Linked DNA regions of Rattus norvegicus. The protein of the gene in region 1 purifies or fractionates together with the protein of each later gene. This does not show direct contact. Links are inferred from orthologs where the notes say so. Each region holds a gene or a part of one and is shown in the gene's direction. Other genes may lie near its edges. The genes, in order: Rab1b and Gdi1.

Region 1 (7,309 bases):
GCCTGTTTGGTCCCTAGAGCCCCATGTGATCTTGTGCCTGATAAAGAGTTTGAGACTTCCCTGACATCTGTCCACAGTCCCACAGTCAACACCACTCTGCGAAGCTTGGGCGCCCTGTACCGGCGCCAGGGCAAGCTGGAAGCTGCACACACACTGGAAGACTGTGCCAGCCGCAGCCGCAAACAGGTAGGGCTTTTGTGGTGGAGGAGGGTAAATAGAGACTCTGAGGGAGGCTCCAAGTGTGCTTCAGTTGGGCCTGATGCTTCCTGCCCCCTTTCAGGGCCTGGATCCTGCCAGCCAGACCAAGGTGGTAGAACTGCTAAAAGATGGTAGTGGTGGACGAGGAGACCGCCGTGGCAGCAGAGATGTGGCCGGGGGTGCTGGGCCTCGGTCTGAGTCTGACCTGGAGGAATCAGGGCCTGCAGCTGAATGGAGTGGGGTGAGTATGGAGGTCAAGATAAGTTGTAAGAGTACAAAGAATGTAGGTCTTAGAGACAGTTCTTCCCCCACAGGATGGCAGTGGCTCTTTGAGGCGCAGTGGCTCCTTTGGGAAGCTCCGGGATGCCCTCAGACGCAGCAGTGAGATGCTGGTGAGGAAGCTGCAGGGAGGTGGCCCACAGGAGCCCCCTAATTCTAGGTGAGTTTCTGACCCTTGATTGTATCCTGTTGGCTCCCAAGTGACTTCCCATCCCTCTCAGGAAACACTGTCACCAAGTCTGCTTAATCATGCCCTTCATCCCAGACCCAACCTGGTGTCCCTTTATTGTCTCACCATGGCCCTCCTTTTCCTCAGGATGAAGAGGGCCAGCTCTCTTAACTTCCTTAACAAGAGTGTGGAAGAACCAGTCCAGGTAAGAACGGAGGGCATCTGGTTCTAGGCAGCCGAGACTCAGCTTCTGGGCCCTGGTTTTTCTGTGTATAGCCCCATCCAACTTCCCCTGGTGAGTCTTTATCCAGCAACTGCTCTGGTTTCAGGCCTGCTTTGGGCTGGGAGGAGATTGGTAGAAACAAGTGGAGGAAGAGGTCAGGCAAAGGGAAACATCCCTTGTCTTGGGGCAGAGACCCAGTCAGCCAGGCCCACGTGAAGCTCTCAGGCAGGTACTGGGTGTGAGCTAAACTTTAACTTGGGCCAGTCTCTGACTGCCTGGATTTGCACAGGGGACCTAGTTTGGCCCTTTCGACAACCCTTCCTCTTCTGGAGTCCTGCTCCCCTCCCCCTCCCTTCACTCCCAACAGTTTAGGACTAAGCTACACATCCTCTGCCCACAGCCTGGAGGCACGGGTCTTTCTGACAGCCGCACTTTGAGCTCCAGCTCCATGGACCTCTCCCGAAGAAGCTCCCTCGTGGGCTAAAGCTGAAGGGGCAGCCAGTCACCAGAACCTCCATCTGACATGATCCCTCCCCCTAGCCCTGCGCATGGGCCTGCTGCTTGTCCTGCCTGCCCCTCCCAAGGACCCCTGTCTTTTCTGTTCAATCTCAGGGTAACTTCCTCCCTTGTCATCTCAGCCAAGGCCCTGGAGGATGGGCCTGCCGGCTCCAGCTCTGCTCCTTATTTATTCCTTCCAGCAGGGGGCCTCTCTTCCCTATGTACTGGGCCTGTGGGAGTGGTGGCCTACCTACCCAGTCCCCAAAGCCAAGAACACTAAGTACTTGCTGTCCCCTCAGCACCTTTCCCCTCCACTCCCGGCCGTTGCTTCTGTATATAGAGAAATAAGTTATTGGCCGTGTCATTCAACCCTCCTCCCCTCAGTCCACGGTATTCCCGGGCCACCACCTGCCTCTCTCTTATCCAGTGGTACCGCCCAGGCCTTAAATCACCCTGTTCCCAGTGGTGGTATCTTCCAAGCTCCAAGTTCTGGGACCAGAGCCTCCCAAAAGGGGTTCCTAGACCTCTTCGCCTGGTCTTGGAGGGATTTCCACTCCACCTTGCAAATGCCCGGATCCCCCACACCACGGGGCCCTGTGCTGCCTCCTGGACTTAATGCACTGTTCTTTCAACCTAGCCCCGCCCAGGCATGGCCTGACCCCACCCTGGGCACAGCCCGTTGAGCCATCCTGCCACGCCTCCCTAGCCTCAGCTTCTGATGTCCCCCTTCCCCCCACACACAGGAGGGACTACCCCATTTGTTGGGTAAGGCAGTCGCTCTCTATTTTCAGATGTTGCTGTAGAAATAAAGACGATTTGAACCTGAACCGGGCTTGTTTTGAGGAATTCAGAGCCCCTGAGCATCCCTAGAGTCGGGTGGAATCAGGAGAGACTTCGGGAGTGAGGGATACACACATATCTTCCCTGCCCTCGAGGCTGGAACTAATACTCTGCTATTATCCTGAACTGTTTGGGGAGATGCTACAGATTTGGGGTTGCGTCTAACATGCCCTAATGGGGTTCTAGACAATTCCGTCTGTGATGTCTTCTTGAACTGAGTTTCCTGAGGATTTTTCATATATGTAATACTAGTGATCACATAATCCTAGTGCTAGGGCTGCGGAGTGCCCATCCCATGAAAAACGCTGAATAAGTCAAAATCTTCTGGCCCTAAATACCTCCCACCTTCTAGTTTCAATCTGCGAATCTAGAGGGTAAAGGTGGCAGCCCATCTTAGAGGCGAACCGTACCTACCCCGGTGTTAAATAAGAGCCTGCACCTGCGGATTGGGTAGCACAACGAAGATTTTTGTAGCTAAGTTGGTTCAGGGATTGGGAAGACTACAGACCCCAGAAGGCCGTTCGCCGGAGGCTACTGGGGTGCACCGCTGCTCGGGTTCCCTGGGTTGCGCCTGCGCAGCAGTGGCAAGTCGAATATCCATGGAAACTACAGGTTCCGCAAGGCAGCGCGGCGCAACCCGAGTCGGAAGTATTTGCGGCTGCGCAGCGCGGGCGGGGCCTCTAGGGCGGAGCGGCCACCATCTTGGAACGGGAGGCGGAGCAGAGCCGACTGGGAGCGACCGAGCGGGCCACCGCTGCCGCCATGAACCCCGAATAGTGAGTGAGCCCCGCCCGCGCCGTGCGGCGCAGCCTCGATCCTGTCTATGGGGCTATATGCTTGCCGAAGTTGTCTGGCCTTGGTCAGAACTGCGCGGCGCCCCCACATCCGGGTCCCTCTTCCGCTGACCCCCCCCTTACATCCGGGTCCTGCCCTCCCCCCGGGATCCCCAGGACCCTGGCTCAACACCCCGAGTTCTGCAGCCCGGGTCCCTGAGGCTGCAACCTGGATGGGCAGCACTCGGAGCCCGCTGCGCCAGCCCTCACAGGCCTTTTCGGTTAGGTGACCCTGCAGATTTGGTCTTCCTGAGCTTCAATTTTTTTCCCACCCACAGCTTGACCAAGGGCAGGCTGTTTGGAGCCCATCACAATAGTTTCTGATCTCCAGAGTCGAATACTTTCAACTGGGCTGTGAACCTTTCTTTGCCTTTCTTCTGGAGCCTCTGTCCCGGGGCCGGCCCAGAATCTGACCAGACAAGAGGGGACCCCCGAGTCCCTGCTTGATTCACATTCCCTACAGATCCTTTCCTCTGAGGCTACCATTTGCCCTGCCTGGGTCGCGCTGTCATGTTGCTCCCGGCAGTCCGTCCTTTTCTGTCCTCTCACCTTTGCTCAGGCCTCCAGTGCCACTGTCACATAGCTTCCCTCTGCTGTCACACTGCCAAAGCACATTAGGTGAATGTGAATTTGCTTGCTCCCTTAGAGCGGAATTTTTATTCCTCAAACTCAAACCCTACATACAGTTTTGCACCCACGTTATCTTCTTCCCCTTCTCCACTTCCTTTTTCTTCCCCAACTCTAGGCCTCAGATTTCCTTGAGGAAGGGTTGAACTCACTAGTGGGCTTAGGAGGGGAACAGAGAAGGGAGGCTACCAGCTGTCAAAGAGCTTGGAGTCTGACAGGCCTGGTTTCCAGTCTCACAGTTATCAACTGCTTAGGACAAGTCACTTCCCTTCTGTGACCTCTGGTTTCCTCCGTAGTTGGAAGTAGTAACACACTTCTTTGCACTGTTGTGAGCATGTATTTCAAGTACATCCAGTTACAATTTAGTATTTACCACTGCTTCCATGGCCACTTGTTGACCGCCTCTTGTGTGACTTCATCTCAGGCTCTTTCACATTTTTGTTTTGTTTTGGATTTTTCAGACAGGGTTTCTTTGCAGCCTTGGCTGTACTGGAACTCACTCTGTAGACCAGGCTGGCCTCTGACTCAAAAATCTGCCCCCGCCTCTTCTGAGTGCTGGGATCAAAGATGTGCACCACCTTCCCCCACCACACATACACCCCACCTCCCATCCCACCTTCATGTTTATTTTTACTTCATGGGTCAGGCTTTCGTTTTTGGGTCCTAAGCTGGCATAGTGTAAGGCCCAGCGTGAGTTTCTTAAATAGTGTCTGCCAAATAGCACCGCGTATTTCTTAGCAGATTGTGTTCTTTTTGACACAGGCTGAAGGTTTTTGTGTGCTAGCTTATTGGGGATACTAAGGGTCAATCAGGACAGTAGAAGGATCTAGTGAGCACCAGAGTAGACCAAGCAGAAGTATGCCTTGTAGTGCTGTCATGCTTACTACAGGAAGGAGGGGGAACTTCCTGCTCGCCTTCATACCTTCCCGTCTTCTCTTGCCAGTGACTACCTGTTTAAGCTGCTTTTGATTGGTGACTCGGGCGTGGGCAAGTCATGCCTGCTTCTGCGGTTTGCTGTGAGTAAGAAGCACCCCTGTATTATCTACTTGGGGTCCTGGCTGACCACCGGGAAGAGGAGGGGGCAGCTCAGAACACAGTAGTTGCAAGTCCGAGAACTAAGAGTGTGGTGGCTGGAGCTGCCACAGCAAGGGCCCAGGCCCTGGGAGTCGGGTGATTAGAACTGAGGCTTGGCAGTGAGAAGCACCACAGGGGCAGGAAGCCAGTCTCTCCAGTGTTTCACTAGCCACAACCTTTTCAGGATGACACGTACACAGAGAGCTACATCAGCACCATTGGGGTGGACTTCAAGATTCGAACCATTGAACTGGATGGCAAAACCATCAAACTACAGATTGTGAGTATGGCTTTTCTCCAGCCCTCGGGCAGAAGTCTTTTCCTTGGGGTGGGAGTTCTCCTGTGGCTGACCTACCTACCCTTTTCCTCCTGACTCATAGTGGGACACAGCTGGTCAGGAACGGTTCAGGACCATCACTTCCAGCTACTATCGGGGTGCTCATGGCATCATTGTGGTGTATGACGTCACTGACCAGGTACTCCTTGCAGCCTTACCTCCTGAGCCTTGAGTTTTGATTTTTGCTTCTTTTCCTTAAACTTTCTGGAAGGGAGACACTATCTGAATTGCTTCATAAAAAGGGCAATAGGACCACAGAACTGGATTCTACCTAGACCCTGTCATGGAGTCTTGATAGAACTAGGCCACAGGGCACCTGCTGCCTTAGTCTAGACTTTCCAGACTACCCGTGTTTCTATCCACTGGTTGGTTACTATTGCTCCCTGTCTGCAGATTCAGGAAGCATTGGAAGGCTTCAGACAGCACAAGAGGGAGCCCAGTATAAGAAGAAATTCTGAAATCCTGTATCTGCTGTGGTGGCTTCAGTCATGTGTCACTGGCAGCAGCCAAAAATTGTCCTGACAGTGTCTTACATCTTATAAACACTGTAGCCTTTAGATTTCCTTCGTTAGTTACCTCATAAAATGTGAGTTTTGCTCTGTTACCAGCCTATCCCAAATTCCTCCACTGAAATGATCCTTTTCTGTCTTAGCCTCCCTAGTAGCTGAGGTAGTGGGGAGCCACCAATGTGCCTGGCTTCTAATTGGTGATGATGGTGGTGGTGGTTTTGGTTATTCTGAGACAGGGTTTCTCTCTGTATCCCTGGATGTCCTGGAACTTAATCCGAATAGACCAAGCTGGCCTCAAACTCCTAGGGATCCCCCTGCCTCTGCCTCCCAAGAGCAGGAATTAAAGGGGTGAGCCTCCACTGCCCAGCCCTGTGAGTGTCTTGTGATGCTCATAAGAAGTACCTCATTCTCTCATCTTAAAGATGAAGATCTGGGGGTTGGGGATTTAGCTCAGTGGTAGAGCGCTTGCTTAGGAAGCGCAAGGCCCTGGGTTCGGTCCCCAGCTCCAAAAAAAAGAACCAAAAAAAAAAAAAAAAAAAAAAGATGAAGATCTGGTTCAGGCTGCTGCAGTAGCTTGCTAAGGGCCTTCCATCTAAGAGCCTAGTCCTGATCCATCTGCTTTGCTTTTTCTATCAAACCTTGTTGCTTCCAGTCCCCAGGGATATAGAAATACAATTAGTCCCAGGCTGGAAGAGCCCAGAGACTTTGATACCCCTGCCTCCACTTCTTTTTTTTTTTTTTTTTTTTTTTTGTTCTTTTTTTCGGAGCTGGGGACCGAACCCAGGGCCTTGTGCTTCCTAGGTAAGCGCTCTACCACTGAGCTAAATCCCCAGCCCCCCTGCCTCCACTTCTATGCCTCCACTTCCTAGCTCTTCTTAGCTGGATGAGCTGAGTGTCATTCAAAGGTCACCAAAGGCTTTAGTTAACTACCAAAAACCCAATCACCTTCTTGCCCAAATTGACTTCTTGCACTTGTTTTCTTCTCTTTCCTTTTCTTTTTTTCTTTTTCCCTTTTCTTTTTTTCGGAGCTGGGAACTGAACCCAGGGCCTTGCGCTTGCTAGGCAAGCGCTCTACCACTGAGCTAAATCCCCAACCCCTTCTTTTCTTTCCTTGAAGATAATGTGTGAAGCTCCCCGTCCCACCAACCTAGCACACACTCGTCCACTGGCATACCTTTACTGCCCATTAACCCATATTTTGGGCGTCCTCTTCTGTAGTTTGGGTTTGCCTTGTGTTCTGGAGTCCTTATGCCCAGACAGATGCCCCATTGGTTCCCATGTCTGTCTGCTTGAGCTGGCCCTTGGCGTCTGTAATGGCAGTAATCTCTTCTTACCCAGTGAGTGAACTGTGAAGCCCTGTGCTCTGCTGTGCTTTCTGTTGCCACAGTGAGCACCAGGTGTTAACAAAAGGCTCTGTCTGGTCCCCAAAGGAAGCCAGGGCATGAATTCAAATGAGCCACAGAGGCGCCTCCTGCCTTGTTCTCCATAGGCTGCTCAGCATCTTTCCTTAGACTTCCCAAGACCACCTGCCCAAGGGTGACACTGTCCACAGTGAGCTCCCCTCCCCCATCCGCCATCAAGAGAATGCCCCAGAAGTTCACAGGGCAGTCTGATAGAGGCCATTCCTCAGTTTAGATGTCCTCCTTCCAGAAGTTCAGGTTTGTGTCAAGTTGAACTATGTTTCACATATGAAGAAATGGTTTTCCAGAAGTATCAGTAGCC
Region 2 (7,325 bases), on another chromosome or scaffold:
GAGTTACAATGACACTGCCCCAAGGATCCTGTTTTGGGCACAAAACTTCTCTGTGGCATACAAAGACGAATGGAAAGACTTGACCTCCCTCACCTTTGGTGTGGAGAATCTTAACTTGACCGGCTCCTTCTGGAATGACTCCTTTGCCATGTAAGGGAAAAAAAGGTTATCCTGTCATATATGGTTTTCCTGCTACTGTGAGCCCAGTACAGGACAAGGATGTGGGATGGATGTGTGTGTGTGTGTGTGTGTGTGTGTAGGTATATAGGTATATATGTTTGGGGTGAGAAAGGTCTTTGTGTGGTGTGTTCACCAAGGAGATGGATATCACAGTATCCCAGGTGATGTTGCTGGGATGTTACTGGAGAGGGATCCTCTTAGGAGTTTGGCTTTCTCATGCTTTTATGTCTTGGTTGTTGGGTCCTGAACACCACACAATCCTTTGGGACCCTGGCCCTTCTTTGAACCCAACCCCTTGGACTGCATGTAGGCAAATACCAGACCAACTGTTAAAACCAGTTCTAGGTCTTCTACCCTTGAAATCTCAGCTGGCAGCTAAATGATCCCAAGAAGGAGGCCTACAGGACTCAGGAAAACCAGAGTAAGGAATCCTAAGCTGGAGATGTAAGACCTAATTGTGCTCCAGCTGCTCCTAATTTGGTTATGACTGGAGCCTTAGTTTTCCCATATGGTAAATGGGGACACTGTATTGACAGCTGGCTGGCTATAAGGATGGATCTAGGGTTGCTTAGGTTGGAGCCAACCTGATCAGGATCTTCTTAAGGTTCTTCTAGAGCCTGACAGTACTCCTGTGCCTTGTCCCATAGGCTTTCACTGACCTATGAACCACTCTTTGGTGCAACAGTGACATTCAAGTAAGTTCTGTTGGCTGAAGTTTGGCTGGGCTGGTATGTCTTCACTCTATTTTGTTCATCTGACATCTCTGCAACCCCCACCTCCCAGGTTCATTCTGGCTAGTCGCTTCTACCCAGTATCTGCCCGATATTGGTTTACCATGGAACGACTTGAAATCCACAGCAATGGCTCGGTTGCCCATTTCAATGTTTCCCAAGTCACAGGACCTAGTATCTATTCTTTCCACTGTGAGTACGTCAGCAGTCTGAGCAAGAAAGGCAGTCTCCTTGTGACCAACGTGCCCTCCCTCTGGCAGATGACTCTTCATAACTTCCAGGTATTGAAAGGGTGATGGGCCCCCAAGCTGGTGGCAATAAGGGGCGGGAAAAAGGGCCCAGAGAATCTCTGCATGGTTTGAGCATGTAGCCGAGAGAGTTCCATCCTTGTATAGTCTCTGAAGGTATAACTATTCATTAATTCCAGAATCCCAGCACTGAACTGTTTGTAGAACCTTGTGGTCCCATCTGATCCATGTCTATGTATCTCCTAGATCCAAGCCTTCAATGTGACTGGTGAACAGTTCTCCTATGCTAGCGACTGTGCTGGCTTCTTCTCTCCGGGCATCTGGATGGGGCTGCTCACCACCCTCTTCATGCTTTTCATATTCACCTATGGTCTGCACATGATACTCAGCCTAAAGACCATGGATCGCTTTGATGACCACAAGGGCCCCACCATCACTTTGACCCAGATTGTGTGACATATACCAGAGAGGGATTGAGGGAGTATTGGTGTCTAGGTTTCCATTTTGTGACACAGTGGATGGAAAGGTTTGTCCTCTTCCTACTATAGCATGAACCCTACATACACCACCCTCAGCCTGTCTTGCTTCCTCTTTCCTGGACAGGGACTTCCCTGAGGCTATCCCCCACTTCTACCAACAAAGTGTATTATTCTTCATAGATAAATCTTCCAGGCTTCATCAAGAGGGGAAGGGACCTTAATTCTAGGGTGCCCCCCTTTCCCTTTCTCCTTATTTATTCTTGCCCCTCTGCTATTATTTCGTGCTGTTTATAGTGCTTTTGTGTAGTAAATACTCACTCCCCAAGCTTTATGGAGCTTTCCAGCAATAGCCATGAACTTGAGGTCCCTTGAATTTGAGAGGTGTGGAAAGGCTAGTTAACTGTCCAGCTTAGCCTTTATGGGTTTTTTTTTTTTTTTGGCGGGTGGGGGTTAAGAATGAGCGGTACACTGGGGTTTATTTCTGTGACCTGAGAAGGAAGAAATCACCACGAGAACTGGAGAACAAAGTGTACTCATTGGGTTTCTGGTTTGTTCTCACAAGGATTGCCTGTCAAGAAGCCAGAAGTATGTGTGTGTGTGTGTGGGGGGGGTGTGCTCTGTTGTTTCATTCCTAATAAAATAAAGACGTGTTGCCATGTGTTGGGCTCCAGCCACTTATTTCTACACTGGACAAGTAGATTTGTTCTTGACTGAAGGGAAGAACTGCTCAGATGTAGTCCTGTCAGGCAAGAAATGAGAGAGGAAGGGTGGGAGGGTCTTCAGTAAGCCGATACTCTTAACAAGCCGGAGAAGAGGCTTGTTACTTTTCCTCGCCATGGGAGGAATCCTGACAATGGCAGCTCTCCCAGCGCTAGGGCCAGCTGCAACAACACACTGCAGGGCTTCCATGCCTTTCTGTTTCTCCCAGGGGCGGTACGGGAGCGCGCGGGGCGGGGCGGGGCGCGCGCAGCTCCCGCGCAAGGATCCTTCGCTAGACGTAGCACCTGCCGCCGGCCTGCCCCGCCCCGTATTTCTCTGGGCTCACGGAGAGCCGCGTTAACCCCTGCAATCATTCTGGTGCTGGGACCCAGGTGCCAGAACCCCTCCTAGAAAACAAGCGAGGAAATGGTGGCTTTGGTTGGGCGTGGCTTGGCCAGAGGAGGGAGAGGGACTCATTGACGCTGCGTAGGGATCGGGAGACGACCGATAGACGCCATCTTTGGGTCAGTGCGGCGGCAGCGGCAGCGGCAGCAGCAGCAGCAGCAGCAGCAACAGCAACAGTAGAGGCATTGGTAGCAGCTGCTGTGGTGAAGGAGGAGGAGGAGAAGAAGAGCGGGCGCTGGTACCAAGGCCTGACCATGGATGAGGAATACGATGTGATTGTGCTGGGGACAGGTCTTACCGTAAGTGCCACCTCAGGCGCTCGTAGCCCTGCATCATGCCATCCCCCACCCCGCAGTGATGCAGAGTCCGGGTTACCCGACCCATCCTCCCATCATTGCGTTCCTGCCTCCAGCCCTGGAAAAGCCCATGCCCACCCCACTACCTCATCCTAGAGTGTTGATGCCAGTTCGCAATTCTTCGTAGAGGGCCCCACTTTGGCCAGTATTCCAGCACCCTAGATCTTAACCACGGACCCCTCACCTTCCCTATCTGTGTCACTGAGGTGGAAAACTCACCCCCCTCACACACACTGGACCCGTTGCATCCAACCCCACCCTTCGCCTGCACTCATCACCTGCTCAAGTAATTGATTAGCATCTTTTACCATCTTGTGATCACACTAGGGCATGGAGTATGAAGATAAAGATATGGGGGCTTTTCAAGGGTGGGCCCTCATCCTGCCTCTCTGCCTTTTGGGAGGGATAGGGAACCCATGGAATGTTCCAGAAACAGCGGGAGGGAGGGAGGGAGGGAGTGTGTGTGTGTGTGTGTGTGTGTGTGTGTGTGTGTGTGTGGTGTGTAGGGAGGGGGTGTTAGTGACCGCTTTCCCTCTACCCCAATTCGGTTTCCCATGGAGACCTCAGAGTGAATATATATCCTCAGCCTTTGTCCTTGGGTTAGTGACAGTGACTGGTGAGAGTGTCCGGTGTCCCCGTCGCCCCCCCCCCCCCCCGCACAAATCTTTTTTCGTTTGAACCCTGAGCCTAGAGCAGTGGATGCACAGCCAGAAGAGAGTCAGGGGCTCCTGCCCTTAAAAGGAGGAGCAGGGTGGAGCCTGGGATTTCAAGGACTTGGCCTTATCTTTCAAAGAGCCTTTGAATTGTTTCTTCTGTAGACTCATTGTCTTGTCTTTTTGTGAGCTCAGAGCAGGTAGATACTTTTGGCTTGTTGATGCTAGAAGAACTGTAAGCTCTGTCCCCCAAGCCTCCTTTAATGCTCTAGTAGTTTACTCAGCAGGGTTATAAAGGAAACATCATATGAAGCTATCTTCCCCTCCCCAGTTTTAGGCACTGGAAAGAGGTAGGACTTTGCATTATGAATTTTGTAGTGGGCATGAGGCAGGGACAAATCAGAGATGCTCATTGGAGGGTAGATGAGGTATAGCTGCCAATGCCACTCTTTCCCCAGGAATGCATCCTGTCTGGCATCATGTCTGTGAATGGAAAGAAGGTGTTGCACATGGACCGAAACCCCTACTATGGGGGTGAGAGCTCTTCTATCACACCCCTTGAGGAGGTAAGATTTCTTATTCTCAGACTTGGGCTTAGACCCAGACCCCTTGTTAGTCCCCCACATAGGTGTAAAGGGGGGAAGTAGTTCTCAGGTCCCAGGCAGGAGAGTGGGGAAGGGAAGCTAGTCCTTGACATTTGTCTTTCTTTCCTGTCCTGCTTACAGCTATATAAGCGCTTTCAGTTGCTGGAAGGGCCCCCTGAATCAATGGGCCGGGGCCGAGACTGGAATGTTGACTTGATCCCCAAATTCCTCATGGCCAATGGTGAGGGAGATTAAAAAGGGCGATGGGGGTGGTGAGTAGGAAGATGGGGTATGGGGTGTTCAATCTCCAGAATATGATCAGTCACACTACTGAGAGTTTTTTGAAGGAAAACACACCCTTACTCCCTTTGGACACAGGTCAGCTGGTAAAGATGCTACTGTATACAGAAGTGACTCGTTATCTGGACTTCAAGGTGGTAGAGGGCAGCTTTGTATACAAAGGGGGCAAGATCTACAAAGTGCCATCTACTGAGACTGAGGCCTTGGCTTCTAGTGAGTATGAGTCTCCTTAAGCAGAAGAATGGGGCTGGAGGGGACAAACTGTTTTCAGGACAGTTGGGCAAAAGGCTCCTCTTTGCATAAACCTAATCTTAGCTCCGTGTAGTCCTAGAGGCCCCTTGCTTTATAGTTTCTTTATTGGACAGTGCTACCAATCTTGGCAAGTTGCCAGAAAGGAAGTTCACAGAAGAGGATTCTTTTTTGTCAAAGGGCCTACTTGCCCTAAGTGGAGCTGGGAGGGTCTCTTCCTACAAATAGGAAAATTGAGACCAAGAAAGGTGGAGCAGTGTTGCATAAGAGAGTTCTGGTGGGAGCCAAGGCACCAATTTTCCTGGCCTGCTCTGTTAGAAAGAGGAGCTCTATGTCCGAGTAATGCAAATGATCTTTTCAATACCTTTCTTTCAGATCTGATGGGCATGTTTGAAAAACGACGCTTCCGAAAATTTTTGGTGTTTGTGGCAAACTTTGATGAGAATGACCCCAAAACCTTTGAGGGTGTTGACCCGCAGACCACCAGCATGCGTGATGTCTACCGGAAGTTTGACCTGGGCCAAGATGTCATTGATTTCACTGGCCATGCCCTGGCGCTCTACCGCACTGATGAGTGAGGGGAAAGCTGGCTGGTGATGGGAGCCCCTTGTCTGGCTCACACCCTCTCCACACCTGCCTATTGTACCTACTGCCCATCCTGCATGTCACTTGTACTCAGCTCCAGGCTCACCTGTTCCATTTCCATCCCTCTCCATTTGACCCACATCTTTGCCAGGTCACAAAGGGTGGTGGGAAGGCTGGCTGGTGTCTTTGTAAATGAACAAGGGTGCTGCTATCAAAGCATATTCCCTGGTTCTTTTTCCGTAGTTACCTGGATCAGCCATGTCTTGAGACTATTAACCGCATCAAGTTGTACAGTGAGTCCCTGGCCCGGTATGGCAAGAGCCCATATTTGTACCCACTCTATGGCCTGGGTGAGCTGCCTCAGGGCTTTGCCAGGTGAGGATCTGTCTTTTTCAGCTAGCATTACTGGTAAGACAAGGCCAAGAATGGAAATTACCTTGAATATTTTTGTGGCATCTCCTACTTTCCCATCTAATTTTCATGTATATTACTGTATCCCTGGGTAATGGGGGCATAGCCCTAGTGCATTAAAGTGCAGAGTAGAGGTTGGAGAGATGGCTCAGCAGATAAGAGCACTTGTTTACACCAAGGACCCGGGTTCAATTCCAATACCAATATACATGGTAGTTCACAACCATCTATAATTCCAGTTTTAGGGAATTCATAACCTTCATCTGGCCTTCATAAGCACCAGGCATGCATGTGGTGTACAGATATACACGTAAACAAAACACACACATGTGTGTATGTGTGTGTGTGTATATATATATATAATTTTAAAAGTAGGTGGAAATACAAAGTAAAGAAGTAGGTCACCATGAACATAGCTTCCCCCAGCTCTTGGTAGTACCAGGACTAAGTCTAGGACCCCGGAACCTTGTGTCTGGGCTTCCCTGGAGTTTGAATCTCTTACAGAGAGTTCTTTATTCTTGACTCCTAGGCTGTTTCTTGGTTTGTTTTTGTTTTGTTTTGTTTTGTTTTTTTGTTTTTGTTTTTTTTTTCGGGGCTGGGGACCGAACCCAGGGCCTTGCGCTTCCTAGGCAAGCGCTCTACCACTGAGCCTAATCCCCAACCCCTCCTGGGCTGTTTCTATGTGGAGCTACTTCTTCATGCTACCTTCTGTTGACCCTTTGCAGAACAATATGTACAGAAACACCAGAGAGGAAGGAATATGTCAGTATGGGCCCTAAGTTTATGGGAGGGACACCTGAAACAGTTGGAGTTAAACTCTGTATACCTGTGTTCTCTACCCCACTGGTGGGGTGAGGAGGGTACAGTAGAATTGGTCCCCACATTTCTGAGAAGACTTCCCCATCATTTTTCTTACTACAGATTGAGTGCCATCTATGGGGGAACATACATGCTGAACAAACCAGTGGATGACATCATCATGGAAAATGGCAAGGTGGTGGGTGTAAAATCTGAGGGAGAGGTAAGCCTGCCCTGTGCATTTGTATTACCATGGTTTGGGTAAGATTTGGTCTTTTTCAGAGCTATGTTCTTAGGGAACCTTATTACTTCTTAACCCTGAGAACCTTATAGCTAAAGCCTGGGTGGTCAATAAAACTCTACATAGTTATTCCTGTTGGCAAGAAATATCCTTCAAACTACAAGGTGTAGTGGCACACAACTGTATTCCTAGTACTTGGGAGGCCAAGGCAGATGGATCTAAATTAATCAAGAGGTATCCTTCAGAAGTCACATACTTTGTATTCCTGAATGTATTCTTTTGGAAAGGGTGTCCTGTATCCCAGGCTGGCCTCAAATAGTGTATATAACTGAAGATGAACTTTCAATCCTTGTGCTTCCACCTTCTTGATGCCGAATTACAGGTGTGTGTCAAGATACCTGGTTTA

The links.
Region 2: the proteins of Rab1b (region 1) and Gdi1 purify together in Homo sapiens (affinity purification with mass spectrometry; 3 studies listed by BioGRID and IntAct, counting the BioPlex papers as one, with this or other methods). This does not show direct contact. The link is inferred for Rattus norvegicus from reciprocal best matches to the Homo sapiens genes RAB1B and GDI1.

What each region holds. Positions count from the first base shown.
Region 1 is NC_086019.1:211,838,812-211,846,120, reverse strand, and holds the start of Rab1b (ras-related protein Rab-1B), read left to right. Parts: upstream 1-2,898; 5' UTR 2,899-2,969; coding exon 2,970-2,983; intron 2,984-4,610; coding exon 4,611-4,683; intron 4,684-4,925; coding exon 4,926-5,021; intron 5,022-5,121; coding exon 5,122-5,217; intron 5,218-5,471; coding exon of another isoform or gene 5,472-5,600; exon of another isoform or gene 5,601-7,309. Other genes in the region: Klc2 (kinesin light chain 2), read left to right, coding at 78-186, 281-439, 513-637, 794-851, 1,270-1,353. UniProt on the Homo sapiens protein: The small GTPases Rab are key regulators of intracellular membrane trafficking, from the formation of transport vesicles to their fusion with membranes.
Region 2 is NC_086039.1:157,236,028-157,243,352, forward strand, and holds the start of Gdi1 (rab GDP dissociation inhibitor alpha), read left to right. Parts: upstream 1-2,872; 5' UTR 2,873-2,996; coding exon 2,997-3,041; intron 3,042-4,209; coding exon 4,210-4,317; intron 4,318-4,476; coding exon 4,477-4,576; intron 4,577-4,713; coding exon 4,714-4,848; intron 4,849-5,259; coding exon 5,260-5,458; intron 5,459-5,712; coding exon 5,713-5,844; intron 5,845-6,801; coding exon 6,802-6,901; intron 6,902-7,325. Other genes in the region: Atp6ap1 (V-type proton ATPase subunit S1 precursor), read left to right, coding at 1-150, 828-875, 964-1,192, 1,406-1,615. UniProt on the Homo sapiens protein: Regulates the GDP/GTP exchange reaction of most Rab proteins by inhibiting the dissociation of GDP from them, and the subsequent binding of GTP to them. Promotes the dissociation of GDP-bound Rab proteins from the membrane and inhibits their activation.